Sus scrofa: one gene and its partners. The protein of the gene in region 3 purifies or fractionates together with the protein of the main gene of each other region. This does not show direct contact. Links are inferred from orthologs where the notes say so. Each region holds a gene or a part of one and is shown on either strand. Other genes may lie near its edges. The genes, in order: BCL7C, HDAC2, SMARCA2, CEBPB, BCL7B, RBBP4 and DPF2.

Region 1 (4,487 bases), on a different chromosome or scaffold from region 3:
CTGATCATGTGGACAAACGGGGAAGTGGAGCACTTAGCAGGCAGAGGGAACACAGGCTTAGCGCAGATGCTGGGGCGGCACCGCCTGAGTCCGAATCTTTTTTTTGGGGGGGGGCATGCCTGGCATGTTGAAGTTCGCTCCCACTCAGGGATCGAACCCATGCCACAGCGACCCAAGCTGCTGCAATGACAACACTGGATTCTCGACCTGCTGCGCCACAAGGGAACTCCCTGAGTTCGAATCTTGACCTCGAGCAAGTGACTTAATTTCTCTAACCCTGTTTTCCCATCTGTCAAGTGGGGATAATTATAGTAATTACCACATCAGATGGTGTATGAATCAAAGGAGGTAACACAGGCAAAACCGTTAACACGGTTTTAATGCGGTGAGTGCTCGAGAAATGCCAATTATGGTTTTTTATATCAGTAAAGGTACACGAGCGTGTGCTACGATCCAGACACAGAACGGAGGCCTAAGTCCTGGTGTTCTTGGAAAGGAACAGTGAGGTCAGCAGGGGACGGTTCGGGAAGGGCCCAGAGTGCCAAGCTGAGGGGTCAAAGGTCAGAGGGAGCCATCGAAGGTTCTGAAGCTGGAAAATGACCCCATCAAACGCATGCTCTGGTAGCTGTGTGGGTGCAGCTGGAGGGGAACAGACCCATGAGGAGGCCGGAGCCGGGTGTGGGTTAGAGAGACGACAGGGCCTGGGCAGGCAGAGGAAGGCAGACAGACACATTGAGAGATGGATCTGATCAGACAGGGGACTGACTTTACGGGAAGAAAGAGGAGCTGATGAAGACTCAGGCCCAAGATCCTGGCTCGCTGGCTGGGTGAACTTGGGCAGCTTCTCTGGGTTTCGGGTATATCATCTCTCAATGGAGATCGTAGCCCTCATAGGGCTGCAGTGGGGATGAAATGAGATAAAACATGGAAAGAGCTTAGCGGGGTGTCGGGCACGCAGAAAGAGCTCAGTAAGTATTAGCTGTAACTATCACCGACTGTTAATCAGTCTTTTGATTATTACCTATTCCTCAACAAATATTTCTTGAGCACCTGCTAGGTGGTCCGCAGTGTTCCGAGGATACAGCCGAGAACAGGATCAAGATGGGCCCAACCTTCAGGAAGCGGACAGGAGGTGGGAATGGGGAAGAAAGATATTTAACTACTCAAAAGCTAAATTTACATGAAAATCTGTGATAAGTTATCTACAGACCCAAAGAAGCCAGAGGAAGGCCAAAGGCCCTAGAGGAAAGGCAGTCACTTTCCACAGGACTCAGGGATGGTCTCCAGAAGACTCGACACAGGAGGGGGACCAGACAGAGGACAAGTGGGGGGCTGCAACCTTGGAGAGGACAAGACACAGAGGAGAAGGTTCCTGGGAGGCACCTGGTCCTACCTCTCTCCTGGCCCAGCTGTGGGGGCTGAGCATCCTCAGGGACCCCTTCCGGTGGTCCAGCAGGTGACACAGGGCGGCTGGGCTGGGGGGTGCCCCCAGGGCTGGGCTCCGTGCCCTTTTGCAGGGAGCCTTCTGAATGGAAGCTCTGGTTACTGTTCTCATCTGTGGGAGCAAGAGCAGAAAGGGTTGGGTCTGAGGCGCCCAATCCCCTCCTTCATTCCCCACCGCTGCCCCAAAGCCCAGCCAGCATCCCCGACATACCGTTGAGATCGAGCAGGATGAGAGGGCCCCCCCCTCGGGGACTGGCGCCCCTGCCCCTCCGCTCGCGGCCTCGGGATCGCTCTGCGCCGCCACCTGCCCTCCGACGCTCCTGGGGGTTAGAGGACGAAGGGTTACAGTCAGCTTTCTAGTTAGTGCTTGCAAAGCCCCCACTGAACAAATAACGACATTGAGGCACAGAGAAGCAGAAGGCCCTCCGTGAGCGACAGGTTGTGCGCCACGGCGGCGGCGGCGGCGGCGTTAGGCCGTGAACTCAGGGGGTCTGGTGGCGGGGGAGGGGAAAGAGGCGGAGTTGCTAATAATTGTTAACATCTGTTCCCGAGGCTGCATGTAAGGTCTAAGTGGGGACTGGAGGTGGAGGCCAGCCGCCGGGAGGGGCTTGCCCGAGGTGGCCCAGATGCAGGGCCTGGTGTGGGGGAGCTTGCTCACCTCTTCCTGGGGGTCCACCACTGGCACCCACTTGAAGATACGCAGGGAAGTGTCACCCACAGTCACCCAGCGCTTCTCCCTGTGGGACGGTGGAGGGACGGGGTCAGAGAGGCCTGAGGAGAGAGCCAGCCCAGGAGCTGGATGTATCTGGGGATACGTGTGGAGGTGGGGGTGGTGCGCAAAAGAAGCGGCAGCGTGGCTAATGGGACTTGGAGGGAGAAGCCCGGCAGACCTCAGGGCATAGGTGGGGGGCGGGAGAAAGAGAGAGAGGGAGAGAAAAAAAAATAGGCTGGGGTCACGACGCGGCAGACCCCTGGGGTATACATGGAGAGCGCGACTATAGGCCTGGGACCACAGCCTCGAAGATCCCGGGGCACACTTGCGGGAGGAGTGTCAAAGCTTTAGGGGGCGGGGCATAAAGGGGGGGTTCCAGCTCTGGGAGGGCAGGGCTGGGGAACACGCTTTGTAGACCCCAGGGTGTAGCCAGGAGAAGAGAGATAGAGCCCTGCAGATCCAGGACGCAGCTGGGGGCGGCGGGGGAGAGGGGCACACCTAACACCTGGGGGCCACAGGTGGCGGAGGGGGTGTGGACGTGTCGGGGGAGGAATGGCCCGCCGTGGCCCGTCCCTGGCCCCCGGGGCAGCGCTCACCATCTCCGGACCTTCTCGATGGTCGCCATCACCTTCTTGATGTCATCCTTGGCCCGGCTCCGGGTCTCGGCCCGCACGGTCCGGCCGGCCATGCTGGCGGGGCTGGGGCCGAGGCCGAGCCCGCGGCTGGGCCGCCTCCCGTCCGGCGGGCTCAGGCTCGGCGCCAGGCCGGGGCGCCGCTCTCTCGGCCTGTCGCCCCTCCGGGAGTTGGCCGCGCCCTCCCTCGCTCCCCAACGCCTCCGCGAGTCCCCGCCCCGCTTCCTGCCGCCGCGCCCCGCCCCGGCCCGTCCCCGGAGCCGCCCGGCGGCGCGGGCGGCCAGAGCCCAGGCCTGGAAGCCGGCCGGCCCCGCCCCGACCGGGCCCGCCGCCTCCGCCTCGAGGCGCCCGGACGCGCAGCGCCCCCTGCCCGCGGCCGAGAGGGAGGTTGGGGCAGCTCGGCGACTGGACGCGCGCGGCGGGGCTGCGGCCGTGCGTTCAGACCACGTGGGCGCCAGGGGGCGCGAGAGGATCTGTGTCCCGGGTGCGACCGCTGCGCGTGGGTGGACCCTGGAACGGTGTGTGTGTTTGTGTGTGTGTGTTTGCGTGTGTGTGTGTCCCTTGCTCGGCTGCCTGGTTCTACGCTGCAACTATCTCTTCATCCATTCATTCTACAGGCTATTAACTGAGGGCCAGTTACGTGCCAGACACTGTAAATGTACTGAGTGCCTCTTCCACCCTCCAGAATGGCTCAGATGAGACCTTGCCAAGTGGAGGCGAAGTAGAGCAACTGGACCTCTCATATTTCTGGGGGAGTGTAAATTGATAGAGACACTTTGGAAAGCTGGCGCTTTTCTAGTGAAACCGAACGTACACCAACCCTGTGACCCAGCAGTTCCGCTCCTGGATGGTTAACACCCATCAGAAATGCGTGGGTAGGAGCCCCAAGGGACCTGTACTGGAATGTCCATAGCTCTGTTCCTAAGCGCCTCAGGCTAGAAACAACCCATCCACAGGGCCATGGAAAATAAATTGTAGCCTGTTCACACCATGGACGACAGGGCAAGGAGAGTGATGTCCTGCTACACACAACATGGGGACGTCTCGTGAAAGAGGTCAGAGAAGCAATACGCCCTGTGATCCCATTCAGAGAAAGTTCTGGACAAAACCAATAAATGGTGCGAAACACCGGGGAGAGTGGTCACCCTGGGGACTGGGAGGGGCTAAGAGGGGCCTCTGGGAACTGGTCAGATTCCGTTTCTTAATCTGGTGCTGGTTCCCACGGCATATTTACTCTTGGAAAATTCGCGGAGCTGTACATATAGGATGTGTGTACTTTACCCTGTGTCTATAGCACGTCAATGAAAAGCTTACTTAAAATACATGTGTCTTGGTTGATTTTGTTTGAGGCTGTGTTTGCCAGCAGGTATGACATTCTAAATTTGTGTTGCTGTGTGTGAATGTGTCAAGGGTGTGGCTCTCGGGTCTGTGTGTTTTGGTGTGACTATGTTCAGAGGTGGTTATGACATCATTTCTGGGCCAAATCGCTGGGGTAAAATCCCAGCTCTGCTTGTCCAGTGACCTCAAACAAGTCACTTATCACTATTTTCTCAGCTGTAACATGGGAATGAGTTAATATACATGTAACTCTTAGAACAGCATCTTGCGCATAGTAAATACCCAACAAGAGTCACTGTTAATATGCGCGTGATGGTGCCACATGCTGTGCCCTCTGCCAGTTGTTCCCTTTCTTCCTTTAT
Region 2 (4,155 bases), about 140 Mb from region 3:
CACTACTTTTATAAACATAATAGGGTTTTTGTGGTGATGAGAATGCAAGCTTTTGGAATTAACTACACACAGCGTAATATACTATCATATACAAAGAATTAGCATAATGATACCTATTCAATTTAATAACCTCTACAAAACATGTTATTACCCCCACCTCCCCAAAAAGAACCCAAAGCAAATTCCAAATATAAGCAACTACAAATTCCATTCTAAAAATGAGGCAAGGAAGAGCCAGAGACAAAAGACAGATAACCTAACCAGGGATAGATATCCAAACATTCGGTTAGTTATACACCTGCTGTTGGCCATCAAATAAAGCTTTATAAAGGTCCACCATAAAGTACTGACTAGGTCACAATCACAAGACTACTCTTTCTATCAAGTCTGCATCCTGCCCTTGGGACCACAGCTTGCTCCCATTCCCTCAACAAAGGCTCATCATAAATGGGCCCAGGAATATACAGCTATTGATAAAACTGACGCTTAGGTGTACCTCCTGGTTCTGCAGTTCAAGCCTGGTGACCACAAGTTTCAAGCAGCTTACTTCTCCAGAGCCTATCACTGTCAGCAACTAACAGCTGTAGGAAGAGCATTAGCACTAGTTACTCCAAACTTTTAAAACCTTTGTCCTTTACCCCAAGACCCGACAAGAACAAATCTCTAAACCTCAGAAACAATATTGTTTTAAAAATTAACTTACACATATTGTTATTTACTTTCCAATTTAGCCAGGCAATGCAAGGAAAGGCCAGTGACTCAAAATATGCATGAATTCTTAAAGAAAGAACTTTAAGAAGCCTTATAATAATTCACGTTAAAATTAAAATATATCCCTCTCTCCACCCCTCCATAACGGCATAATTTCAGATCAATCTGTATCACACATATAAGCGGACTTCTCAAAAAACAGGTCTTTAAAACATGGCTGTTACTACTGAGTATTGGCTACCAAATACTGAACTATTTAAATTTCTTTTCCAAGATTTTAGATTTTTCCACAATGACACAGGTGGTTATTTCATATAAACAGGCATCAAAATAATTTATCCTTGCTAACTTGAGATATGGTACAGCTATTTTAAAATTAAAGGCAGATTTATTCTGACCTAGTCCTCTAAGATCTTTCCACCACTCTTTAAAACTTTGTGATTTATAATACACTGAATGTGGCAAAAGCATCCAAAATTTGTATTGCTTCATTCAAACTGGATAGACCTTTTCAGGTCATTGAATCTAGCTTCTTTGTTAAATTTTACAATTTCTTTCTAGGAACTATTTACCTACTTAAGTTAATGCCTTTGTGCAATCTGTAAAGCAGCTAACTACTCTGTTTAGTGTAATTTATAGCATCCGGATTCAAAAAGATTTAATGTTACTGCTCAAACTGCAATTGAGAAGAACCCTTTAAATTATATGACTTTTACACACTGTTCCATGAGCTCAAGACTATCATTATTTATACCAATTTCTGCACTACTCCTCAAAGTTTTCCTGCACCGCGACTCCCACCACCTAGAAATAGCCTTCGCAAGCTAGATGCCAATGCTAGCTTCCCTACACCTCCAAAGCAGGGTATATTTCCCGATCAAACAAAGAGCAACAAAGAAGTGGGTGGTAACCACCTCACAGAGGCAAGCCAGGACCCATCGGGTCTGAGCTGCAACACAAGCAGCAGCAGCAGCCCCACGCTGCCCTACCACCGTCTTAATTTCCCGAGAAGACTGACTACCTCCAACTCGAAAACCCTCATTTTTATTGAGGAAGTGAAGCTTTTTCATTTGAATGCTAAGAAAGTGGCGCTCAAAGAAAGCGGCAAACAAAGGAGAGGAAAGAAGCCCAGGCAAAACAGCGGTGTGAGTGTACCCCAAAGCGGACGTGGGCCCCCACCTTCAGGAGCTACTCTCCGCTACCCACCCTGGTTGAGGGGTCTGGGGAGAGGCCGGCGCGGAGGAGGGGACAGCCTTTCTCCGGCCAGCCAGGGACGGAGGGGAGGGAGAGGTAAGGAGGGATGGGGGCGGGAGGGGAGGGATGGGGGCGGGAGGGGCGGAGCTCTCGCGGCCGTCGGGCTTTGTGTGGAGTCTGGGCCGGGGAAGCTGTTTTGACCCGGGGGGAGGGATGGGTACAAGGGGCCGGTGCAGAGCACCCCCAAACCTCCGCTCCCACGAGTGGCGGGCGGGAGAGGCGCGCGGGAGAACCGTCTGCTTCACACCAGCACGAAGCCTGGTAGGCCGGCGGCAGTCCGGACTGCCGGAGGAAGACGGCCAGGAGGGAAAAGTGGGGCGTCCACTTAGCCCCTGGCCGAGACTCCTGGACGGCGCCGGGTCGGGAATGGGTTAGGATGCGGCCAAACATCGGTCCCTCCTTCTGACCTGAACCCTCGCACCTGGGACCACTCGCGACGGCTGCTGCAGAGCCCCGTGCGGCTCGAGGCCCGGCGCCGCAGCCCTGCCCGCTACCCTCCCGCCAGCCCAGCCTCTCACCATCATAGTAGTAGCAGACTTTCTTCTTGCCGCCTCCCTGACTGTACGCCATGGGCTCCCCGGCCACCGCCGCCGCCGCCGCCTCCGGGCTCGGACTCCTGCTGCTGCTGCTGCTGCCGCCGCGGCTCGGCGCCGAAAGAAAAGGGCTGGGGTGAAGGTTGAACTGGCAGTCCTGCGGGGAAAGGCAGGCCAGAGGGAGGCGAGGAGGGGGTGCCGGGAGGGCTCGGTACCGCCCGGCCGAGGGGCCGAGAGCGCGGACCGGGGGGTGGCAGCGGCGCCAACTCGCGACACTGGGGAGGGGGAGGGGGCAGCCAAACCACCTCCGGAGGCCGAGGGGAGGTGGGATGCATCCACTGCGACTCCACGGGGGAAGAGGGGACACGACCCGAGAAAGAGGCCTCTTCAGTCCTGGGTAAAGAGGCCTCCTAATGATGAGCAACTTGCAGAGGGCCGCTCCAAATACAGTCGTAAAATGATTTTTTTTTAAGGACAGGCTTTCTCTCCGTAAGTGGGTGAAGGAAGCGTGGAGCCGGATAAACGCTCCCCCCTTCGGCTCTTCGTACAGTGGTTGCGCCTATCCCGAGCCTGCGCAGTCGGCGCCTCCTCAACCGTAGCCCGGGCGCTTAGACCCCTTCCGCGACGTCCCACGCCGCTCCCCTCCCCCACTGTCGCGAAGCTCCTGCCCGGGCGGACCACGTGCTGCAAGCGCCGCAGGGAGACCCCTCTCTCGCACTCCTTTGGCCTTGCCGAATCCTCCAGGCAGCAGTCCACGGACCCTCAACCGAGTCTGCTTGAATTTCATTTATTTTTTCATTTTTTGCTGATTTTTGCTCAGAGGTTCTTATCTATTAAGGGGACCTGTTACAGATATTAAGGAGTGGAATGTACTGCCTAGGTTTGAATGGGCATTTTATGGAATGCATTTATGAGTTAGACAGGGTTCTAAGCATTTGCATTTATGATAGATTTCATTGATACCCATTTGTAATAGGTACCAGTTAACTCATTTGAGACGCCCAACAACGCTGGGATGTAAGTATTATTTCTAGTCCTTCTTTATAAATGGAGCATATTAAGGAAATTGGTCTTCTCAGATGTTAATGGTCTAGGGTTTGATTTGACTTTCTCCAAAATCTACATACCCTAGCTACTCCGTTATTACTGCTTCCGCTGGCTGGGCACTGGAAGATTGGAGCAGAAAGCTCAGAGAAAGGACTTTCAAAACTTGGAATTTGTGAATACCTTTGTCACTGTGTCAAGTCAACATTTATCAAGTAGCTACTCTAAGCCAGCCACTTTATAGGGGATTGACAGTCTGCAAAGGAGAACTCTTAGCTCACTCTACCATTTACAGTTTTCCTCAAAAACACACTCCTATATCCCCATCAAAACAACAGCAAAAAAGGCCATATTAAAGTAGGAACCAGTCAGAATCACTACCAAGATCCTCTTTATTTTGCTATTTGACTTCAAAATCCCCAAGTAGTACATACTTACAGCAGCAATTTTCCTGGACCTTGCCCCCCAAAAATTTAGAAAAAGTAAGTTGAGGGTAACCTCCCTCCCCCTCCACCCAAGTCTGTATTTTTAGCAGGCACCTCAAATGGTACAAGAACCACCTTGTGAGAAACCTTGGCTTAGAAGTAAAAATTACATGGTATTGATGGTAAAA
Region 3 (3,838 bases):
GGAGAGGAGTCCCTCCAGTGAGAATCATGTTATAGAAGTAGTGTTTCTTCTCCTCTAACTTAAATACTTCAGAATTGTGACTCAAAATAAGTTTTATAGGAAGGTAAAATCACCAGACATAATTTGTGTCTGCTTTTTAAATAAAGGAGAGGAAACGCATAACTGTATTTACACGAAAGTCCAACACTTTTCAAAACAAAACTAAGCATTGCAGAAATTAAGCTCAAAAAACCCAAACAGAATTGATAGGATTATGACATGAAATCAAATCCTACATCAAAATATTTCCAAATCCCTAGAAAGGGATGTTTTAAAATATCTGCCCCTGTGAAAACCTCCAACTGGGCCCTTGAAAGCCCCTGTATACTATATTTATATTTGTTACAAAAATAACTGTTTGCCCTCCTCTTTCCTCTTCCAAGTTCCCTCTCCCCTAGGATTCTGTTCTAGGAAACCTGCCTATGCCCACCCAGACAGCAGCCTCCCATGGGGTTAGAAATAAGGCACCGTACTGAAATTCAGAAAGCAGGGTCAGTCCTCCACCTTATCCTGCTGTGACTGCTGGTGTCACCTGGGGCAAGTCACTCAGGCCTCTGGCTTGGCCTAAGCTTCCTCAACTTTAGGAAATGGAGTGGTCGGACCACGGATGCTCCCATGATCCTTTCTGTGATGTCCCCACTGCCCACATCCCTTTCTCAAGTGGTTCTGACTCCACCCAGTTGCCTGCTTGGGCAGCCGTCCCATGAGGGCACCCGGACCTGCACACACCCCCACCCCCGCACCTGGTGCTTCTGCCGACGCTTCCTCTCCTGCTCGATCTTCTGCTGCTTCTCCAGCTTTTCTGTCATGCGGGCTTCCCGCAGGGTCTGGCGCTTGCTCCGCTTGTATGCCTTGGAGTTGAGGGCCGTCTCGAGGGTTGTGTCCCGCCGCATGCAGGCCACCACCTCCTGTCTCAGCTGTCAAGAGAGGAACAGTGAGAACACCCCCTCCCCCAGACGGAGGAGGCTGGGCCCCTGTCCCTGGCCCTGCTCCTATTTCCCTTTAGTTTAGTTCCCCCAAGTTTCTCCATCATAGTTGGCTCTTTTGGTTAAGGAAGGGACTACATCATGCCAGATATATGTGGTATTTTCAAAGATGCTCTAAGTTTTCTTTACAAATAATTCAGATAAGAAGCAAGTACAGAACTGTTAACAGTGTAAAAAAGTATAGAGGTCGTCTTGGTTTGTAAATAAATCAATTGATTTGATTTAATTATTCTAATGATATTAATGAGCTAATAAGCCTTTTGTACTCTTTTACTTCACCTTAAGTGCCATGCTAACATTCTCTTTGAGTTTAAAGATTAACATGCATGGTGTTGTGAAAAAAGAATAGAATCACTTCCTGTTCATGTGCAAGAGCTGCAGATACTGAAACAATATTAATTCACTGTCTCACATAAAAAAAAGGGAAATACCAGTGGCTTCTTCCCACTCCAAACAATATTCTTCACAAGATACTTAATTTTTTTTATTATATCATGGACTTCTTTTAGATTATCATGAATGTAATATCCATATTATATATTACGTGGTGATAGAAGGAGGGGGATTGGAAATATGCATTAAAATAATTCGACTGAATCTGAAATCAGCATCAATATAGTTCATTTCATTGGAAAACTTCATAAATAAGAGATTTTTCAGTAATACGAAGCAAAAATCAGAAACCAATAAGAATGCAGCAGAGTGAAGCTAATTTGAATATAACATGATTCCTGAAAATATTCCAGATTCATACTCATTCAATAAAATTTACTAAATACTTTATCAATGCATTTTATGAAGTTACCTCTAAGAAAGAAGCAAACGAAAGTTTTTTCTCTTTTTTCTTTTCTTTTTAAAAAAGATTTAAGCTCTAATCTACTCTCACAAACCTATGGTCAAATAGCCACCAGTCACTACAATGTCCTCTTATGATCTTATAACCAGTGAGGCAAATGTATTTCCAAACTCATATGACAATAGCAGGCAGGGTGGCCTTGTGATTTTAGTCACACCCTCCAACAGACCAAGTCATATAATTCATACTTTCAAACTACTTTTAGTCGTGGACAATTCATCTTATATGACCCAAAACCTTCACCCAACAAGCCCATCTGACTGGTTAGGAAGCATTCCTGTCACCCTTTGACTAAATGAGGCAGTGTGAGGACCAGGAAACCTACAGCCTTTGGATCCAGAAGGCAAAACTCATCAAAATAAAAATCAGCTCTACTTCATTGCACTAATCTCCTACAGATTTAGAAAATATAAAACAGACTGCTATGCTAGTCTTTATTAATCAGTGACTACTAAGACCATAGCAAAAACAAAACATATTAATTCACTGATTACTCAGTATGGGGGGTCTGATCTGATCAAATATTCCAAAAGTAGTTTGTGATGACTAGTCAACTGTTATAAACCATAGTTTTATGTATTTCTATAAATGATGAGCTATTAATTTAGCAGAGTGGTTTTCATATCTGTTAAAATGATTTTCATAGTCATGGCTAGGATTTTACATTTCTGTTTACAAAGAAGCTCTGATCTATCGCCTTATTTTTCTTTGAAGTCATAAAGGCAAACATGAGCTACCCCATTTGTTCTCCACTAACAAAATGCCATAACTCTGACTTTGGAAACCATAATAGGGGAGGAAAAAAAATGTCTCTGATATACAGAAGAGGAAAATAGAATAATAAGCAGTTCATCTTCATTACTTTTAGCTCTATGCTGCTGGTCGAAAAGATATACTCTTTTACTAAGTTTATATCTTTATAACAATACTGAGCTGACTTAAGGAAATGCACAGATTACACTCTGGAACAATTACATTTATTTCCTACATCTTAGACGTGCTGGGGAAAAGATATTATTACCTGACGTTGGAAATTGAGTAACCGAAGTGCTTTCAGTTCCACAGTTGCTTTGGTTCGTAAATCCGGTGGCAAAGAGCCAGGAAGATTTTCCAGCTCCTGTATCCTATGGGCTATGCGAGCCTGAAGTCTAAAGGAGATAATAAAAGGGGGGGGGAGAATAGACATTACGATCTGGTCCTAAGTGATAGACAACAACCTTAGGTTGAAGTTCACGGCAAAACATCTTCCAGATACTGATGGCGGATTTCTGACACCCAACCAGATTATCTGAGGTTAAACCGAGAAAAGCTACCTTTGCATTAATACAGATGGGTGCTATATGTGACTTAACACTCTGGCCTTCTTCACAACCTCTCTCTAACAGCCAGGAAGACTCAGACTACATAAGAACAAAGTCAAGCCTCATGGTTCCCTCTGAAGAGAGAGAGAAAATCAGAGACAGGAAAATCTGACTTGTTCCCAAGTGCTTGGCCAGCCAGAGTACAGAGCTGAGACAACAGAGTGCTCCTTCTAACTTCTAGTTAGTTCTGTCCTAAGGCGACGAGGCCATTTGCCCTCCTTGCCAAGATGCTGATGATGACAGCCGTTAAAGCTGAGTGAACAAGAGCAGTTTTAGGTGCTGAGGCCACAGAAATCAGCCAACCCAAAACATTCAGAGAGAGAGAAAGCCCTGCCAACCACAACCACTTCCTCTGTGAGCAGTGCTTGCTTGAGAAAAGAAAAAGCAAATCAGGCATTTTTAAAAATCAGGTTTGGAGCAGCAATAAAGTGTAAAGTAAACAGTATTTAAAAACTAAGACTTTCTAGAAAAGAATGGCCAGAGATTCTCTTTCTGGACATCATCAAAAAATAGAGCTGGAGGTACTCCTCGAGATTAAAGCAGAAGAGAAAATAAAAGACAACCGACTTCATCCATTTGGGATACTATTACTGTTA
Region 4 (3,170 bases), on a different chromosome or scaffold from region 3:
TAGAAATAGATTATTTTTTATAATACAAAAAAAGACCAAAAAAACAACAACAAAAACAAAAACAACAGCAACAGAAACAACCCCGTAGGAACATCTTTAAGCGATTACTCAGGGCCCGGCTGACAGTTACACGTGGGTTGCGTCAGTCCCGTGTACACACGCGTTCAGCCATGTTTAAACCGATTGCATCAACTTCGAAACCGGCCCGCCCGCCGGCGCCTGGAGAGGGGGCAGGAGGAGAGGCAGAGTTTATCATTCATCTGTACACATAGACATTTCTTCTTTAAATAACACCACGGGCGGGCGCCTCATCTGCATGTGCGGTTGGTTTGGACAAAAATATAGATATATATAATAAAATATTAAAATTACCGACGAGCTCCCCGCGCTGCCAAGTGCCCCAGTGCCAAAGTTTTGCCGGCGCCACTGGGGGCGGGGGCGGGAGCGCGGGCGCTTCCCGGAGTCACTGTGGCCGCGGCGCGCCCGGCAGCGCGGAGGCCGGCGGGCCGGCAGGGGGACGCGCGCGGGGGCCGCGCTAGCAGTGGCCGGAGGAGGCGAGCAGGGGCTCGGGCAGCTGCTTGAACAAGTTCCGCAGGGTGCTGAGCTCGCGCGACAGCTGCTCCACCTTCTTCTGGAGCCGCTCGTTCTCGGCCGTGAGCTCCAGGACCTTATGCTGCGTCTCCAGGTTGCGCATCTTGGCCTTGTCGCGGCTCTTGCGCACCGCGATGTTGTTGCGCTCACGCCGGATCTTGTACTCGTCGCTGTGCTTATCCACGGTCTTCTTGGTCTTACTCTTGACCTGCGAGGGCGCCGGCGCCGCCCCCGCGTAGCAGGCGGCTGGGGGCGCCTTGGCGTCGGCGGGGCTCGGCGTGCCGGGCGGGCTGGACGACGAGGATGTGGACAGGCTCCCGCTGCTGCCGCTCGGCACCGCCTGGTAGCCGAGGTAGGCGCGCAGCGCATACGGGAAGCCAGCCGCCATGCCTGCGGCGCCGCCGCCCGGCGCTCCGGCCTCCTCCTTCCGCTTGCAGTCCGCGGGCTCGAAGCCCGGCTCCGCCTTGAGCTCGGCCGGCTGCGGCGGCGGCGGCGGGGGCGGCGGGTGTAGGGGCGCGAAGCAGCCCGGGTGCAGCGCGTTCTTGGCGGCCCCCAGACGCCCCAGGCTCACGTAGCCGTATTCGGCCGCCTTCTTGCAGTTCTTGCCCCCGTAGTCGTCGGAGAAGAGATCGGAGAGGAAGTCGTGGTGCTGCCCGGAGGAGGCGGGCGCGGGGGCGGGCGCGGGCGGAGCCGCCTCGAAGGTGTCGGTGGCCGTGGCCGGCGCCGGGGCCTGCGGCGCGCCCAGCGGCTCCAGGTATGGGCTGAAGTCGATGGCGCGCTCGTGGTCACCGATGCTACCCAGCTCGCCGGCGGGGGGGCGCGGCCCGGGTCTGGCCGCGGGGGGCGCCGCGGGGGCCGCCTTGCCGCCGTACGCAGCAGCCAAGCAGTCCGCCTCGTAGTAGAAGTTGGCCACTTCCATGGATTTAAAGGCAGGCGGCGGCGGCAGGGGGAGACATGCTGGGTCCCAGGCCACCAGGCGTTGCATGAACGCGGGTGCCCGGGGAGGGGGCCTGGGGCTGCCCGCTCCGGCCGGCCCGCAGGTGGCGCGGCCTCCTGGCTCCGAACTGTCGCTGCTGTGTCGCTGCTGCTGCTGTTGCTTTTTCCGCTGGATTGGCCGCTATTAGTGCGGGGGCTGGTAGCTGGACCCTCGGGTGGGTCCCCTTCCCGGTCCCGTGCGCGGCTCTGACTCGCTAAAGTTTCTCCAGAGCCCGGTTATTTATAAGGCGGGCCATGGCAACGGCTGCGTCACGCCTGGCGGCCGCCCCAACCCCTCCCCGGGCACGCAGAGGACACGCTGTGGCCGCCCGAGACCCCCGGCAGGGCGGCGGTGGGGCACCGTGACCTGACTGAAGATCTGGAGCGCGCCCTTGGGGGGTCCTCCGGCTTCGGGGGCCGCCACACGCCCCCTGCCCACCCCCACCCTTCGGACTCAGGATTGGAAGCGAGAAGAGGCGCGAACCCGCCCCCGGACCGCCCCCTCTGGGCTGGAGGCTGTACTAGAAGGGAGGGGGGAATCCGGGGAGGGGGCGACGCCATCGCCTTCCCCCACCCTAAACGCGGCCGCGGCCCGCCCCCTGCTGGAGGAGGCCGTGGCTTCAAGATCAGCGGCTCTCAGCCCCAACTCCTTAAGGAGGGGACGCGCCCCAGGCGGGATCCTGGAGACCCCAAACCCCTGCTCTGGCTATTGGAGAGGTAGCCCATCTCCAAAGCCCTTCCAGGGCCCGGCCCCGCCCCTAAACTTGCCCTCGTCCCCAACTTTTGGAAGGAGAGGATTTCACGCCTATAGGGACTTCTCTCCTAAATGCGAAGACTTGTGGTTGGGGGCTTTGGGAGTGCAAGTCTGGAGCAAGCTCCACTGGAGCATCTGCCAGGGGCCCGACCTTGCCCCTCTCCTAGCCCTGCCCAGCACAGCCGCCCGCCCCCTCAGACCACACCCGGGTATTCTCCAGCCCCACCCCACTCCCACTTGGGCACCCAAAGTGTAGAAGGGGGTGTAGGTGCTAAGCTCTGACATTACTGTGTCACCTTGCGCAGGTCACTTAGCTAACCTTCAATCCTTGAAGGTCTCAAAACTTATTATTAGTTGTATTATTGTCTCCACCACAGACTCCCAAACATAAGGCTTTCTGCTCTAAGATGCACAGCAGAGAGAAGGGCCTCTCCCAGGGTGTAAAGAGGCCCAGAGGGGGCATAGCACACCCCAGGTCAGATGGCCTCATGTCCCCCACTATTCTCAAAGAAAAGCCCTGGTCCCTACACTCTCAGACCTATTTGCCACCAGAAGGCCAAAACACCTGTTTCTGAGGCTTGTGCGAAAGGAGTTCTGCCAGGCCCCAGTGGGGGCTATGCAGAGAGAAGGGACTCCCCTGTTTTTCCCAGGCACCTACTGTGTGATGTGGGCGGACCTGGCCCCAGAGTTTGCATTTTCACCCTGTGGAGACAATGCACTTACTCCCCTGGTTCAGAGATGGGGAAACAAGGTGACCCACCTGGATCTATCTGAAGGTAGGCCTGAGGCCCTCTCTGCTGAGTGGGCTCCAGCACCATTCCTAGGCCATTTGGGCAGCTCCTTGGGCCAA
Region 5 (4,607 bases), on a different chromosome or scaffold from region 3:
CGCAGTGGTTAACGAATCCGACTAGGAACCATGAGCTTGCGGGTTTGATCCCTGGCCTCGCTCAGTGGGTTAAGGATCCGGCGCTGCCGTGACCTGTGGTGTAGGTTACAGATGTGGCTTGGATCCCGCGTTGCTGTGGCTCTGGCGTAGGCCGGCGGCTACAGCTCTGATTCAACTCCTAGCCTGGGAACCTCCATATGCTGCGGGAGGGGCTCAAGAAAAGGCAAAAAGACAAAAAAAAAAAAAAAAAAAAAAAAAAACCTCTTTCCTCACAGATGACAGCAGTATAGAGTGTCAGCACGCTTTCAAACTCAAATACACATTTCATCTAACTCCTTTCTCTCCAGTTAGTTCAATTTCACTCATATTTACAAAGGCCCTGCAGGAGATAAAGGATATGGAAGATAGGGTCCCTACCTAGGGAACTAATAGGAATGAAAAGATAACAAACCACTGTAACACATGAAGGTGACAAGGAAGAAGGCTTCAAGAGTAAGACCAGGACACATCCCATGGAAGGTAGAACTCCTATGACTCCTGTGGAACTCTGGATTGAAACACGATTCCATTGAAAAATAATCACAGGAGCAGGACAAGACGCTTTCAGCTAACAGAATGAGCTTACACTGGTGTCTGGAAGAGATGAAGGCCAAGACATGGAAATACTACTTTAAGATTTTATTTTACAGGGAGTTCCTGTTGTGACACAGTGGAAACTAATCCAACTAGTATCCATAAGGATGTGGGTTCGATCCTCGGCCTCTCTCAGTGGGTCAGGTATCCAGCGTTGCTGTGAGCTGTGGTGTAGGTCGCAGACACAGCTCAGATCCTGCATTGCTGTAGCTGTGGTGTAAGCCAACGCTTGTAGCTCCAAATCCACCCCTAGCCTGGGAATTTCCATATGCTGTGGGTGCGGCCCTAAAAAGACAAAGCAAAAAAAAAAGAAAAAGAAAAAGAAAATTTCAAGTCCAAATTTAAGGACAAAAAAAGCAAAAAAAAAAAAAAAGTAACTGCTGTTACTGTTGCTATAGCTGCTGCTATTGAGTAAACGATGACATCACAAAAATGTAGAGATTGAGATGTAACGGAAAGAATGAACTAAAGACCTAGGAAACTGGAATTAATTCCTGGACAAGCCACTCCATTTCCTCATTTATCCAACAAATATTTAATATGCAAGAAGCCTATGCTAGGTCTTAGACACACAAGGAATAAGATACACAGTCCTGACTCCCACAGGGCCCACATTCCAACTGAAAACAGACATCACACAACTCAGCTCAGTTAGAAACCTAATCATTAGATTTAACCATATCAAACTACCACTGCTGTAGGTTAAAAAGGCATATATAGGAGACATCTTATTCATCAACCTAATACAATTATGGAAAGTTCTATGTAAGGGACCTGATTTAGATAGGGCATCTTGAAAGTTGTCTTTGAGGAAGAAACTGCAGAGCTTAGCTAGGAGTTAACCAGGCAAGGGGAAGGAGAGGGTTAAGAAGGACACTAGGCAGCAGGAAAAGCAGTACGGCCCCAATTGAAAGATGGCCAGCATCCTAGAAAAGAGGGCAATTTGAGCCAGGCTGATGAGGCAAGAATGATCACCTCTGATCTTTATTCTAAGAGCAAGAAGAGATCAATGAAGCATTATCTCCTAAGTAGGGGAGTGCAGGAAGATTCACACTTGAGAAAAATGCTATGTGATAATGGACTGGGGAGTGAGCCAGCCCCGAAGCAGGGAGATCATCCGGAGGCTGGTACCGAGTTCGGGGTGAGAGAAGATGGTCATCTGCCCTAAGCTCCAGGTGGGGGCAGAGATGGCCGGAAGAGAAAGGTATGCCCATTCTTAGGTTTCATCAAAAAGGATTAGATGTGGGGGGGGGGATCGTTTATTATTTAACTAGTATTGAGTCCAACTATATATGAAGCCCTTAGAGATAAGGAACTTGGTCCTGTGTAGAGAAATGGACAAATAAACATTCAAGATAATAATGACCCTAAAGGAGGCTTCCTGGAGGGAGCTAACACCTTACCGGGGCTTTAAAGTTATTAGCAGTAATCAGCTAGAGAAAAGTACTTATGAAGCTAGAGCAAATAGTTGGCTGTGAAAAATTAAGCTGATAACGCACTGGAGTTCCTCATACAACATAGGCGGTCAACCAGCACCCGAGAAGAACGTTACAAGAACCGAGAGAAAATGCCCCCCCAGGTCGCAGCGTGTGGGCCGGTATTAGGGAAAAGAGCCGGCTTTTGATTCCGACGACCACTTGGTCGCATGGCAGTTGTTTACCCAGCAGCTCTCACCTAACTTAGACGACTTAATACGTACAGCGCTGTCTGGCCAACGTGAAATTCTCAGACTGTTAGTTACTATATGGGACAGTTCAGAACGCAAAAGGCTCCTAACGCTGACGGCCCCGGGGACGAAGCCCACACGAAGACCGGCGTGAAAGCCAGAACCCGCAAAGCGAGCAACGCCGGAAGACGGCAGCTCCCGCGGGCGCCGAGCTACCCGAGGGCAGGTGGGCGGGCCCGCAGGCCGGGCGACCTGCTGATTGGCCGCGGCCGGCGCGCCCTCTGACCTCACGGCGACGCCAGCGGCACCCTCCACCCGCCTCCTCCGCTCCCCCCTCCCCCCAAGCGCTGCCGGTCTGCTCCTACCCCGCCAGGCAGTTCGCCGAGGCTCTGGGCCTGGGCAAGCGACCCCCGCCAGCACCCTCCGCTTCCGCCCCTCACCATTTCCGCACTTTCTCGATGGCCGCCATCACTTTCTTGATGTCGTCCTTGGCCCGGCTGCGGGTCTCGGCCCGCACTGACCGGCCCGACATGGCGGCGGCGGGAGCGGCGGGGGCCGGGACACTGCTCCCAAGACACGGGGAATCGCGCCTCACGCGCCGCCACCCGCCCGGCGCAGCAGCGTCACCGCGGCCGTCGCCCCCACCGTGCGCGCGTGCGCGAGGAAGCGCGCGCCCGCCCTCCTCTTGAGGCTCGGGGCATCAACGCGCCTGCGCGCCCCGCCCCGGGTGCCCCACCCCGGGAGACCCACCCAGTGCACCACTCCCTCGTTGTCCTACCTTGGGTGTCCGTCCCAAGGCACCCAAGGAGTCCACTGGGCCCCCACGCAGGCCCAGGTATGCAGTGAGCTGACTGCACGTGCTGTGTGCAGGGTGAGGTGCGAGGCGCTGCAACCGGCGTCCCTGGATCTTTCCCGGGGGATTTGGAGATCAACACCTTCATCCTCTGGCCAGGGCTGCCGATATAACCTGTATTTTATGGACTTGACTCCCTACGGTACCGAGATTCTATACCACCGTGTCCTGCTGCCTTTCCTCTTTGGGGCCCTAGCTCCGGCTGCGCTCCAGCCAGAGAATTTCACACCTTCAGTATGCCTTCCAACCTTAGCACACATCTGTTCCCCACCTGGAATTCGCTCATCTCTTCATCTGAAGACCATTTACTCTTCCAACATCCAGTTGGAGCTTAGAGAAGCCTTCCCCTTGTATTCTGGGTTTCCGATTTGTCCATACTTGGCACTCTGCATCACTGTCACGTTTAATTCAGCAATTGTTGATTAAATGATGCCTGCATTGTGCAAGGCTCTGTGCTAAGTGCTGAGGACAAAATCTGGGGGTTTGCTTCCAGAGCTTACAGTTTAGTAGAACAGGCAGGCCAGAAAAACAGGTATTTATAAATGCTAGGCTCAAGTCATGCAAGTGCTATGACAACCCTAATCTGGATAAGGAGTATCCAGGGGCATCTGGGAACAAATGACCTTGTAGTTGAGCTCTGAAAACACTGTAGGTCCAATTGCTCTAGGGCCTGTGACCACAGACACTATAATGCTAAGTAAATGTTTGAGTGAATGTTTAACCTTCAGCGCAGCTCCCTTGCTCTGCCCCCACACACAACTCAAGGCATTTACTAGCGCTTGTGGTATGCGGGGAGGGTCCTATAGCAGCTGCTTCAGGAAATAGAAAGGAAGCAGGTGACAGTCTACATTACTAGATAGCGTCTACTTCTTTTACCTCCAGGGAAATGTCAAGCCAACCCCGAACTTGACAGAGTCTCTATGACTATTTAGCCTTTCATAATCCACCAACATCATGGCTTGACAAGCATATGTTGTCTTGCTGGTGAGAGGCCCAGGAATAGTGTCTGCCTGGCTGAAGAGTGGAAGAGCTGAACCAGCATATGGAGGGAAGGATGATTCTAGAAATAATGGGATCAAAGGTGCATCTGTTTCTCAAAGCCATTGATCCAAAATAGCAACCCAAGAACTACCAGAGCACCTGCTACATGCCCTTCTGCTGTGGACACCGTGGGTGATGCAGAAATGAGTAGGACTCCCTGGAGTTCTCTTGTAGCGCAGCAGGTTAAGGATCCAGCATTGTCACTGCAGTGGCCTGTGTCACTGCTGCGGCACGAGTTCAGTCCCTGGCCCAGGAAGTTCCACAGCCATGGGTGTGGTCAAAAAAAAAAAGGTGAGGATAAGGAATGCAATAGGAAAATAAAACATAAGACAGAGAAGGTGGTAAGTGTCGTGAAAGAGGCCAGCTCTCTCCAGTTCTGTTAATAGGGCACCCTGGTCTAGGCACACAGCCCTG
Region 6 (4,592 bases), on a different chromosome or scaffold from region 3:
CATAAATGTCCATCAATTAGAAAGTGGTTAACTAAACTAAATGTCCATCTCTACATGTACATATAAGAAAATGTTAAGAATGGCTGATCTGGAGACAAAGACTAGGTGGCTAGAAATCTGGGCTGGAAGTTCCCAGGCCAGAGATTGACTCTGCAACCTCATGGTTCCTAGTCGGATTGGTTTCCACACTGCACTGGGCTGGGGATCCAACCTGCACGTCCAGAGCAACCTGAGTCACTTCAGTCAGATTCTTAACCCACTGTACCACAGTGGGAACTCCCTGTACTTTTTGAATTTGGCATCATGTATAGAACTTATTAAAAGTAATTTTTAAAAATTGCTAAGTGAGAGAAAAATGAGCGTAGGGAGACATACAGGGTCCAGAAAGAACTAAGCCTAGTAAGCTATGGTAAATAGTTGGATTCTATACTGAAGACAAGGGGAATTTAATGAAATATTTTAAGCAGGGATATTAGAGTCAGATTAGTCCTTCCCAGACCACAGCCACCTTTAGGGATGATAGCTTAAGGTTTATATAGAACTTCAGAGTCTGCACTACACTTTCACATTTATTTTTATCTCAATTATCCCTCACATGAAGGAACTGAATGCAAAGAAAGGTTATGTGATTTGCCTAAAGTCACTTAACTAAATATGGCAAAACCAGGTCTTTTTACTAACACGATACAGGTAAAACACCAAGTTAGAAGTTCCCTACTGAGAGCTTTCAGTCCCCTAACCTAGCCACACTCTTAGGAGACGACAACTCCGCAAACGCTTGAAAACACGGTTGTGTTTAGAATTAATACACCAATAAAATTCCCACAAAGTAAGCGTGAATAGGCACACGTAGAAAAAGTTCAAAAGACTAAATGTGGAAGCCCAGATTTCCGATTCAGACCGGGTGGCTTTTCCCTTCAGCATCCGCGGGACAAGCACAGAAGAGACAAACAGGGCTAAAAGGGAACGTGCCGGAAGTACCGTAGGGGACAAAGTGGAAGGCGAGGCCAGAAGCCCCAGGTAATGAGAGAAGTGAGACACCTACTCACACTCGTACTTCCGATTGACTGGAGGATACTTGGCCTTGATCGCCTTCTGCTCCTCAGTCAAATTGTAATCTCTAAAATCTTCCCCTTCCAGCGCCATGATTGTGCTTTTGGACCCAAACTCAGCTTCCGCCCTTCTTCAGCTGGACTTCGGCCCTGACTTATAACTTCCGCTCTAGACTCCGCCCCTTGGCACACCCTTAAAGGACCAGGGCTCCATTCCCTGGGAGGTACTTAATCCTTCTAGACTTCCGTTCTGTGTCCCAGGGTTTGGAGCACATCATTAAAAGTCGAAGGACCCACTTTCTGCTCTTGCTTAATAGTTCTTCCTACGACTAAGGAAACAAATAATTTGGAGGACGTGGAATAAGGGACACGAATTAGACACCTTTCGATCTGAATGATAGAGGCCTTTTCTTGCCGCCTAGCCCCACAATAGATAACTAGACCCGGAAGCATCCTACATTTTCCCATCTAAAGTACTACTTTGAAGGGGTCGCTAGCTTAACACCCTTCACGAAAATGGCTGCCCCCAAAAGCGTGCGGACTAAACCTCTCACGTGACCCCGGGCGGGTGCACTTCTACTACTCCCGCGCGCGCGAGCGCGCGCGCGTGATCGGAGGAAGTCGGCTTGGGGCCGTGTGGGGGCAGGGGCAGAGCGCGCGCCTGGGCCTGGAGGCAAGCTGCTCCGCGCGTCTGGATAGGCTGCGATCGCGGCTTCCCCGCCCACACCGACGTTCGGCGCACTCCGATTGGCCGATGTTGGCGCGAAGGTGCGCGAGTCGGCCCTCACGCAGGGGCAGCAGGAAACAATAGAGGCCGCGCGCGCAGAAGGAGCGCTCGCAGCCTCCCCGCCCCTCTCGCAACGCTCTGCCCCAGGATCCCCCCGGCTTGCCTGTACGCCATGGCGGACAAGGAAGGTGAGGGTGCCGGGGCCGCCCCAGGAGGGCGGGAGGAGTCAGGCTTGCGCCGCGGCCTCAACGCGGCCTAACGGTGGGGGCAGGCCAGACTCTGCCTAGGGCCGTCCCCGCCATCGCAGGCGTGAGGAAAAATCGCCCCGCGGGGCGGGCTCATGGCGCGCCAGCCCCTCTGGAGCGGAGGCCCGGCGCAGCGGTGTGAGGCTGGCCGTGGTGGCCTCGGGGGGGGTGTTTGGTCCCTCCCGCGCTCCCCGTCGGTCTACCTGCCTCTCTCCGGGTCCTCCCGGCCGCTCTCCCTACCCGCAGGGGTCGGTGCTCGGTCTCACCGTCGGTTCTGTGCGCTCGACGGCGGGCGCCGTCGCCCGAAGGGCTAACGGAGTGTCTGGTCGGGATTACCCGAGCAGTTCCCGCCCGGCGAAGCTGGAGAGCGGTGGTGGTGCCTGCGCCTCCGGGAGATCTAGACTAATCTCCATTTCAGAATCAGGATTCAGGAGCCGTGACGGTAGCTTTGGAAGTGTTTACTCGGTTTCCGTTTGTGGTCGCTAACTTAATTTGTTCTTAATTTTTTAGCAGCCTTTGATGACGCAGTAGAAGAACGTGTGATCAACGAAGAGTACAAAATATGGAAAAAGAACACCCCTTTTCTTTACGATTTGGTGATGACCCATGCTCTGGAGTGGCCCAGCCTAACTGCACAGTGGCTTCCAGATGTAACCAGGTGATAGGAATCTCTCGAATGCTGTTTTGTTGTGTCCTCAGTGTAGATTTCTCACATTGATTTTCCCTGTTTTCCTCTCTCCAGTCACCCGTAGAGGACACGTGATCAAAGCCTATTGGTGACATTTTTTTCCTAGGCCAGAAAGTAAGGCAAAATGTAAAATTATTTTGCAGTTTAGCATATAAGAGAGAACATACTGATGTTTTCTTTTTATTTACTTGTTTTTATTGAGGTACTGATTTACAATGTTGTGTAAATTTCTGCTGTACGGCAAAGTGATTCAGTTATGTTTTTAAAGTACAGCTGATTTTCCATGCTTCTTCGGTTTCTGTTGTATAGCAAAGTGACCCAATCACAGTTTCCTGTGTACACTTTTTTTTGGATATATATTCTTTTCCATTATGGTTTTCCTAGGACACTGAATATAATTTTCTTTGTTATACAGTAGGATCTTGTTTATTACCACTTTCGTGTAGACTAGCTTATTACATCTGCTAACCCCCACCTCCTGCTCCCTCTCCCAACCCCCTTGGCAACCACAAATTTATTTCCTATATCTGAGTCTGTTTCTGTTTTGTAGATAGGTTTGTCATATTTTAGACTCTCCAATATAAATGATATTTGTCTTTCTCTTTCTGATTTCACTTAGTATGATCATCTAATTGCATCCAGGTTGCTGCAAATGGCATTATTTCTTCCTTTTTACGGCTGAGTAGTATTCCATTGTATATATGTACCACATCTTTATTCATCTGTCAGATTGTTCCCATGTCTTGGCTATTGTGAATAATGCTGCTGTGAACATAGCGGTACATGTATCATTTTGAATTATAGTTTTGTCTGGATATATACTGGGGAGTAGGATTGCTGGGTCATATGGTAACTCTATCCTTAGTTTTCTGAGGCATTTACATACTGTTTTCCATAATAGCTGCACCAGTTTGCTTTCCCACCAGCAGTGTGGGAGATGTTTCCTTTTCCTAACACTGAATTGAATAGTGGGATTATAGCTGTAGTTGACCAAATGGTAATGTAAAACTTGTCAGCTTTCAGAAACTATCAGGATGAGTTCAGTTTTTAACATCAAAATGTTTGAATCTCGGCAGTCAGTGGTATTTTCTAGTTAGTTAATGCAAAGGTAAATGTGACATGGTACCTGCTTTCAAGTCTAGTGAATAGGCAGGTATAATTATGAAAGTGGCAAAGATAAAATGATCAGAGAAAGGAAAATTATCTCAACTTGGAATATCAGGAAAGGCTTTCAGTGGGAAGTGACAGTGTGAAAAGGAAGGTGACTTTAAGTAGTATAAAGCTTTAACAAACTGAGCGTGCCTGGGGGAATAATGGATTTTTTATTACAAAACTGTTGGTGTTCAGAGTAACAGCTGAAAGTTATATGTATGCTAAATAACTAGGTTCCTTCAGAACTCAGGTCTTTTGAGTCAAGATATTTGTAAAATGTGGTTGTTGGCCTATGTTTCAGCTCAACAAGTAATAGAAATTTTATAGAAATTTCATTGCCAACTTAATGAGCATGCTACTTTCGTAGTAGCTTTTTAAAAATGGGGAAATCTGGAGTTCCCGTTGTGGCTCAGCAGTAACGAACCCAACCAGTATCCATGAGGATGTGGATTCAGTCCCTGCCCCTGGCAGTGGATTAAAGGATCCAGTGTTGCCGTGAGCTGTGGTGTAGGTCGCAAATGTGGCTCAGATTCAGAGCGTGGCTGTGGCTGGCAGCTGTAGCTCTGATTCAGCCCCTAGCCTGGGAACTTGATGTGCTACAGGTGTGACCCTAAGCGAGCAAAAAAAGTGGGGGAGGGGGGAGTCCTGTCCTACATATGTTAATAAGTACTTAGGAATTTAGAGTTGGAAGCTGCTTTATCATGACCAGTAGTTCACATTATTCAGCT
Region 7 (4,430 bases), on a different chromosome or scaffold from region 3:
GGCACAGCTTAGCACGTTCCCAGAAACTGAAAGCCACACACTGCACACAAAGCAGTGAGACCACAAGATAGTCAATGAGCTGTAATGACTGTAATTTAAGGCAGGCATGAATCCTGTGTTGGAGAGTAGAGAGAAGGGAACAGGCTCATATTTGCTCGCCTTTAGGAGGCAGCCCTGTCTTGACTAAACAGAGGAAAATTGGATAAACAAGGCTAAGTGCAGCAGCTCCTTTGTTTCTGCTGATGGGAATTGATACTGACGCTGCAAGTCAAATGGAAGGAAGGGCCAGACAGGCTGAGAGCTGCAAATTCAGAGCAAGGAGGCTGCAAACAGTTTGAGGGGGATGGATGAGGGATGTCCTATCAGCGCTCTTATGAGTTAAGCGGGATTTCAGAAGGTGGGGCAAACTGTCTCCTGAGTAACAGAGCTGAGAATGAAACACACGTTGGAGGGAGAGAGGATCTGATGAAGACAGAGCAAGAGAGAATGGGAGAGATCTCTTAAGAAATTTCAAATTAACATCATTCTCCAGATCTCAGAAGGTTTCAAAACCAGTCAGCAACCGCAACTCTTTATACTATTATTTTGACTTAGTAAGATCCCTTAAAGGATTGTTTGAATTCTGACATCACATTTGGGAGGGGCAGAGAATTTACAAATAGGAAAATTCTTCTCCTAGAAAAAGATGCGAGTCAGAAGAAATGGAGCTAGTAGTCCTGACCTCCTTGCATAACCTCAGCTGTCAGAGACTAGGCACACCATGATCCAGAGAAGCGTCAGAAAGACACCTCTTTCCAGGATGGGCATGGTAAGAGGAGAATGGAAGTCTCTTTTTAAAGGGCAAGTTGTTTAAAACTGCATCAACTGTAGTTGGCTTCTCATTACTAGTACTCAGGAATCAGTGGCTGGTGACCCTCACAATCTCTATAGCTCTTTAAAGAGAAATAAGAAGTCATGCTCTGTTTAAACGGGCAACCCTTCACTCCCAACATCACATGAAAGGGTTAGTAGCCCTATTTACAGGATGAAAGTCTTCCAACATAAAGACAAAGAATCTCATTACATACAATTTGTTTTTTTCTCTCTCTTTTTTGTCTTTTGTCTTTTTAGGGCCACACATGAGGCATATGGAGGTTCTCAGGCTAGGGGTCTAATCAGAGCTACAGCTGCGGCCCACGCCACAGCCATAGCAATGCAGGATCTGAGCCGAGTGTGTGACCTACACCAAGCTCACGGCAGTGCTGGATCCTTAACCCACTGAGAGAGGCCAGGGATCGAACCCGACACCTCACGGTTCCTAGTCAGATTGGTTTCCACTGCACCAAGACGGGAACTCCTCATTACATATAACTCTTAAATGAAGTCTCAACGAATCTTGAGCTCACAGCTAACAGCTAGGCAAGTCTGACATTCCCCCAGTACAGTAACGTTTCCAAGGTAGAAGCTTTGATTCTTTTTCAAGAAGCATGAAGTCTGTGTAGAACCTTCCCTTACAATGGGACAGGGGGAGTCAACAAAGAGAAAGGCAGGGAAACAAAGAACATCTGAGTCAGGCAGGATAACTATATAAATGGTAGATCAACAGCGTCATTTCTAAATTGAGGGAAATGTCAGCTTGAAGAGAGAGCTGGGGAAACTGGAGTGGGCAGATCAGAGAGAAAGATAATAGTGCTGGGAGGAGGGGTGGTTGAAAGAGGCAGCAGGATGGAGCTGAAAGCAAGTTTAAAAACAACAACAACAACAACAAAAAACCCCCACAAGAACAGAAGGAGAAGGCACTTAGCTTAATGGAAGTGGGAAAGCACTGGCAAAGAAAAGGCTCCAGGCAAGAAGAGGCAGAGCGGCACCGCACCCTTAAAAAGGGGCCCTTGGGGGGCTCAGCCCACCACCAAGACAGAGTTCCCAAACCTTTACCTTGTCATCCAATCAAAATCCCAAAGCCCTAACTGGACAACTAGACACCTCTCAATCTTCCTACCCTTGCACCAAGCCAAATTTACGCATTAAAAAGGAGCTTGCTCTATTCGCCCACGGGGCACGGAGCTGCAAAACTCATTCAGATTCTTCCTCACGGAGGGGGCTGGGTTAAATCAAGTCTCCAAGCATCTTTAACTCACAGCTAACGGGATTCTCCATTTACCGAACAACCATGAACTTTAACTTCGCTCGAAATCTGTCAGCCCAAGAGTATTGCATAGCCGGGCAGCCGGGGCGTCCGGGGCTCTGCATCGGTCCAGTGCCCGCTTTTGGTGGCTGGGATTGGCCGGCACAGAGGCCCTCTCCCCTGAAGTTCTTTCCCCTCAGTACCAGCTCTGCAACAAATTCTCCCCCGGAATATTCTTGGCCTTGGGTACCTGACACTCGAGGACCACCCCACCCCCCCGCCCGCCCGCCCGCCCCGGAACGTCACCGAGCTGTTTAGAACAAAACAGCCCAGCGGGGCTTAACGGCGCGAGGGCTGCGGAGCCTGCTCCCCCAGGGCCGGCTGCGGGCGGCCGATGGGGAGGGGTCGGCGGCGGGGCGTTGCGGGGGCTCCGGCCGCTCCCGGGTCCGCCCTCGGCCCGGCTCCACCGGACTGAGGCGTCTCGGGAGCGAATCCGGGACTGTCTTTCGTAGGCGACCAGGGCGCCATACTCTGGAAACCGTCAGCCCGAAGGGAGCGCCCAGACCGCACAGCCCCTCCGGGAGGCTGCCCGTTAGGGGCTCCCGTGTGCCCCCCTCAGGGCCTCCACAAGTTTCCAAAGAAGAGCAACGTCTCCTCCGGAGTCTCGGGTTGTCCTCCCCACTAGGAGTCGCAACATGGCCTTCCCAGGCAAGGCCCTCTCTCCGCCTCGTCCCTTCCCGCACCGCCCCCTACTCCCAGGCCCCTTACAAGACCTCCCGGCCTAGGAGGAAAAGAAAACGGCCACTCACAGCTTCACTACATTTTCCACCACAGCCGCCATCTTCCCGGCTCCTCTACCTCAGGCCGGGAGGCCCGGAGAGCGCAGCGCGCAGGCGCCGGGACCGCACGGGGAACCAGTTTCCTCGTCCTTCTGCGCAGGCGCCGCCCGGGAGCGCGCCCGAGAGCGAGCTGCCGAGAACGAGCTTGCCTGTTGGGGGCCGGGGAGCCGAGGAACTAGTGCGCAGGCGCAATGGAGACCGAGGCCGGGGCGGCGCGAGGCTCCAGCTCTACCTCCGCTTCTGACGTGTAGGGGAGCGGGAGAAGGGAGGGAACGTGTAACATGGTCCAGAAATGAGAAGGTGAGGGCTTGGTGAAAACTGGCAGGCCCGGAGGTGGTGTAGGTGAAGCTTATGCGTCCTGCTACCTCGCAGACCTTTAACCTCGTGGTTAACCCTTTGCCCTCACTTGCTGGCCAGGGGTTGGTGATAGTAGTAGGGCACAGTCCTCTTGAGCTGCCAAACACGTGCCCATTTTAGGGAAAGAAAAAGCAACTCCCAGAACCTGACGTTCTTTGGCCCGAATATTGGACTGTGACAAATTTGCCCCCATTCCTGCCTTCAGCTTTATCGGCGCCCAACTCTTCTCCCCTGCTTCCTGCTCCTAAGCTCATTCCCTCCACTTAGGCGCCGAAGACTATCCCTCTCTCTTGTGTACCATTCATTTCTGCTTCACTGCTGAATCATGCAAATTCGTTTACAAACATGACTTAAAATCCTCTTTTAAAAAAGCTCATGGGGCCGCACCCGCGGCATATGGAGGTTCCCAGGCTAGGGATCTAATCAAGACCTGCAGCCGCTGGCGTAAGCCCTAGCCACAGCAATGCAGGATCCGAGCCTTGACTGTGACCTACACCACAGATCAGGACAGCGCCAGATCCTTAACCCACTGAGCAAGGCCAGGGATGGAACCCGCAACCTCATGGTTCCTAGTCGGATTCTTTTCCGCTGCGCCGCTACGGCAACTCCTAAACTTTTTGAAATAGAGAGAAAATCATTGTATGTAAATGTAATATTAAATATACATATTAAACATTATTATTTAGCTTTACTCCTTTTTAAATATATTCAGATCCCAGTGGGAAACAGGTGCACAAAGAAGACGGTTCATTACAAAGGGGGTGTTAATGAGTGTAGCTGGGTCTGGAGGGACACCTGGGGGGGGACAGTTGCCTGGGGGTGTGTAGTAGCAGAGAAGTTTGCATCATAAGCCCACAGAAATGCAGGAAGAGGCACCAGTGGGAAAAAGGAACTATCAGGGGAGATTGGTGACCTCCAGTGAGGGCATATCCTGGCTGAGGTGCCCTTGCAGGAAGTGAGACTGAGAAATCCCTCACTCTCCCCCTCCTCCCCATCCTCTGATCTCTTGCTGGGCTCCCATTGGCTGAACCCAACCGGAAACCAAAGCCCAAGGGAACCCATAGATGTTCCTCTACCTAGGTCACCTCCTGGGGAGAGGGTAGGGGAGAGAAGGGTGGGAAGTGGATCTG

Evidence for each region.
Region 1: the proteins of SMARCA2 (region 3) and BCL7C purify together in Homo sapiens (affinity purification with mass spectrometry; 4 studies listed by BioGRID and IntAct, counting the BioPlex papers as one, with this or other methods). This does not show direct contact. The link is inferred for Sus scrofa from reciprocal best matches to the Homo sapiens genes SMARCA2 and BCL7C.
Region 2: the proteins of SMARCA2 (region 3) and HDAC2 purify together in Homo sapiens (affinity purification with western blotting; 4 studies listed by BioGRID, with this or other methods). This does not show direct contact. The link is inferred for Sus scrofa from reciprocal best matches to the Homo sapiens genes SMARCA2 and HDAC2.
Region 4: the proteins of SMARCA2 (region 3) and CEBPB purify together in Homo sapiens (affinity purification with western blotting; 5 studies listed by BioGRID and IntAct, with this or other methods). This does not show direct contact. The link is inferred for Sus scrofa from reciprocal best matches to the Homo sapiens genes SMARCA2 and CEBPB.
Region 5: the proteins of SMARCA2 (region 3) and BCL7B purify together in Homo sapiens (affinity purification with mass spectrometry; 3 studies listed by BioGRID, with this or other methods). This does not show direct contact. The link is inferred for Sus scrofa from reciprocal best matches to the Homo sapiens genes SMARCA2 and BCL7B.
Region 6: the proteins of SMARCA2 (region 3) and RBBP4 purify together in Homo sapiens (affinity purification with western blotting; 3 studies listed by BioGRID, with this or other methods). This does not show direct contact. The link is inferred for Sus scrofa from reciprocal best matches to the Homo sapiens genes SMARCA2 and RBBP4.
Region 7: the proteins of SMARCA2 (region 3) and DPF2 purify together in Homo sapiens (affinity purification with mass spectrometry; 6 studies listed by BioGRID and IntAct, counting the BioPlex papers as one, with this or other methods). This does not show direct contact. The link is inferred for Sus scrofa from reciprocal best matches to the Homo sapiens genes SMARCA2 and DPF2.

What each region holds. Positions count from the first base shown.
Region 1 is NC_010445.4:17,546,092-17,550,578, reverse strand, and holds the start of BCL7C (B-cell CLL/lymphoma 7 protein family member C), read right to left. Parts: upstream 3,034-4,487; 5' UTR 2,844-3,033; coding exon 2,752-2,843; intron 2,181-2,751; coding exon 2,102-2,180; intron 1,764-2,101; coding exon 1,655-1,763; intron 1,556-1,654; coding exon 1,394-1,555; intron 1-1,393. UniProt on the Homo sapiens protein: May play an anti-apoptotic role.
Region 2 is NC_010443.5:79,898,798-79,902,952, forward strand, and holds the start of HDAC2 (histone deacetylase 2), read right to left. Parts: upstream 2,801-4,155; 5' UTR 2,536-2,800; coding exon 2,484-2,535; intron 1-2,483. UniProt on the Homo sapiens protein: Histone deacetylase that catalyzes the deacetylation of lysine residues on the N-terminal part of the core histones (H2A, H2B, H3 and H4).
Region 3 is NC_010443.5:219,773,819-219,777,656, forward strand, and holds part of SMARCA2 (probable global transcription activator SNF2L2), read right to left. Parts: intron 3,030-3,838; coding exon 2,903-3,029; intron 957-2,902; coding exon 783-956; intron 1-782. UniProt on the Homo sapiens protein: ATPase involved in transcriptional activation and repression of select genes by chromatin remodeling (alteration of DNA-nucleosome topology).
Region 4 is NC_010459.5:51,721,039-51,724,208, reverse strand, and holds CEBPB (CCAAT/enhancer-binding protein beta), read right to left. Parts: upstream 1,577-3,170; coding exon 536-1,576; downstream 1-535. UniProt on the Homo sapiens protein: Important transcription factor regulating the expression of genes involved in immune and inflammatory responses. Also plays a significant role in adipogenesis, as well as in the gluconeogenic pathway, liver regeneration, and hematopoiesis.
Region 5 is NC_010445.4:10,866,314-10,870,920, forward strand, and holds the start of BCL7B (B-cell CLL/lymphoma 7 protein family member B), read right to left. Parts: upstream 3,002-4,607; 5' UTR 2,832-3,001; coding exon 2,740-2,831; intron 1-2,739. UniProt on the Homo sapiens protein: Positive regulator of apoptosis. Plays a role in the Wnt signaling pathway, negatively regulating the expression of Wnt signaling components CTNNB1 and HMGA1.
Region 6 is NC_010448.4:88,985,426-88,990,017, forward strand, and holds the start of RBBP4 (histone-binding protein RBBP4), read left to right. Parts: upstream 1-1,666; 5' UTR 1,667-1,951; coding exon 1,952-1,967; intron 1,968-2,534; coding exon 2,535-2,682; intron 2,683-4,592. Other genes in the region: ZBTB8OS (protein archease), read right to left, coding at 1,050-1,146. UniProt on the Homo sapiens protein: Core histone-binding subunit that may target chromatin assembly factors, chromatin remodeling factors and histone deacetylases to their histone substrates in a manner that is regulated by nucleosomal DNA.
Region 7 is NC_010444.4:6,883,429-6,887,858, forward strand, and holds the start of DPF2 (zinc finger protein ubi-d4), read right to left. Parts: upstream 3,071-4,430; 5' UTR 2,946-3,070; coding exon 2,914-2,945; intron 1-2,913. UniProt on the Homo sapiens protein: Plays an active role in transcriptional regulation by binding modified histones H3 and H4. Is a negative regulator of myeloid differentiation of hematopoietic progenitor cells. Might also have a role in the development and maturation of lymphoid cells.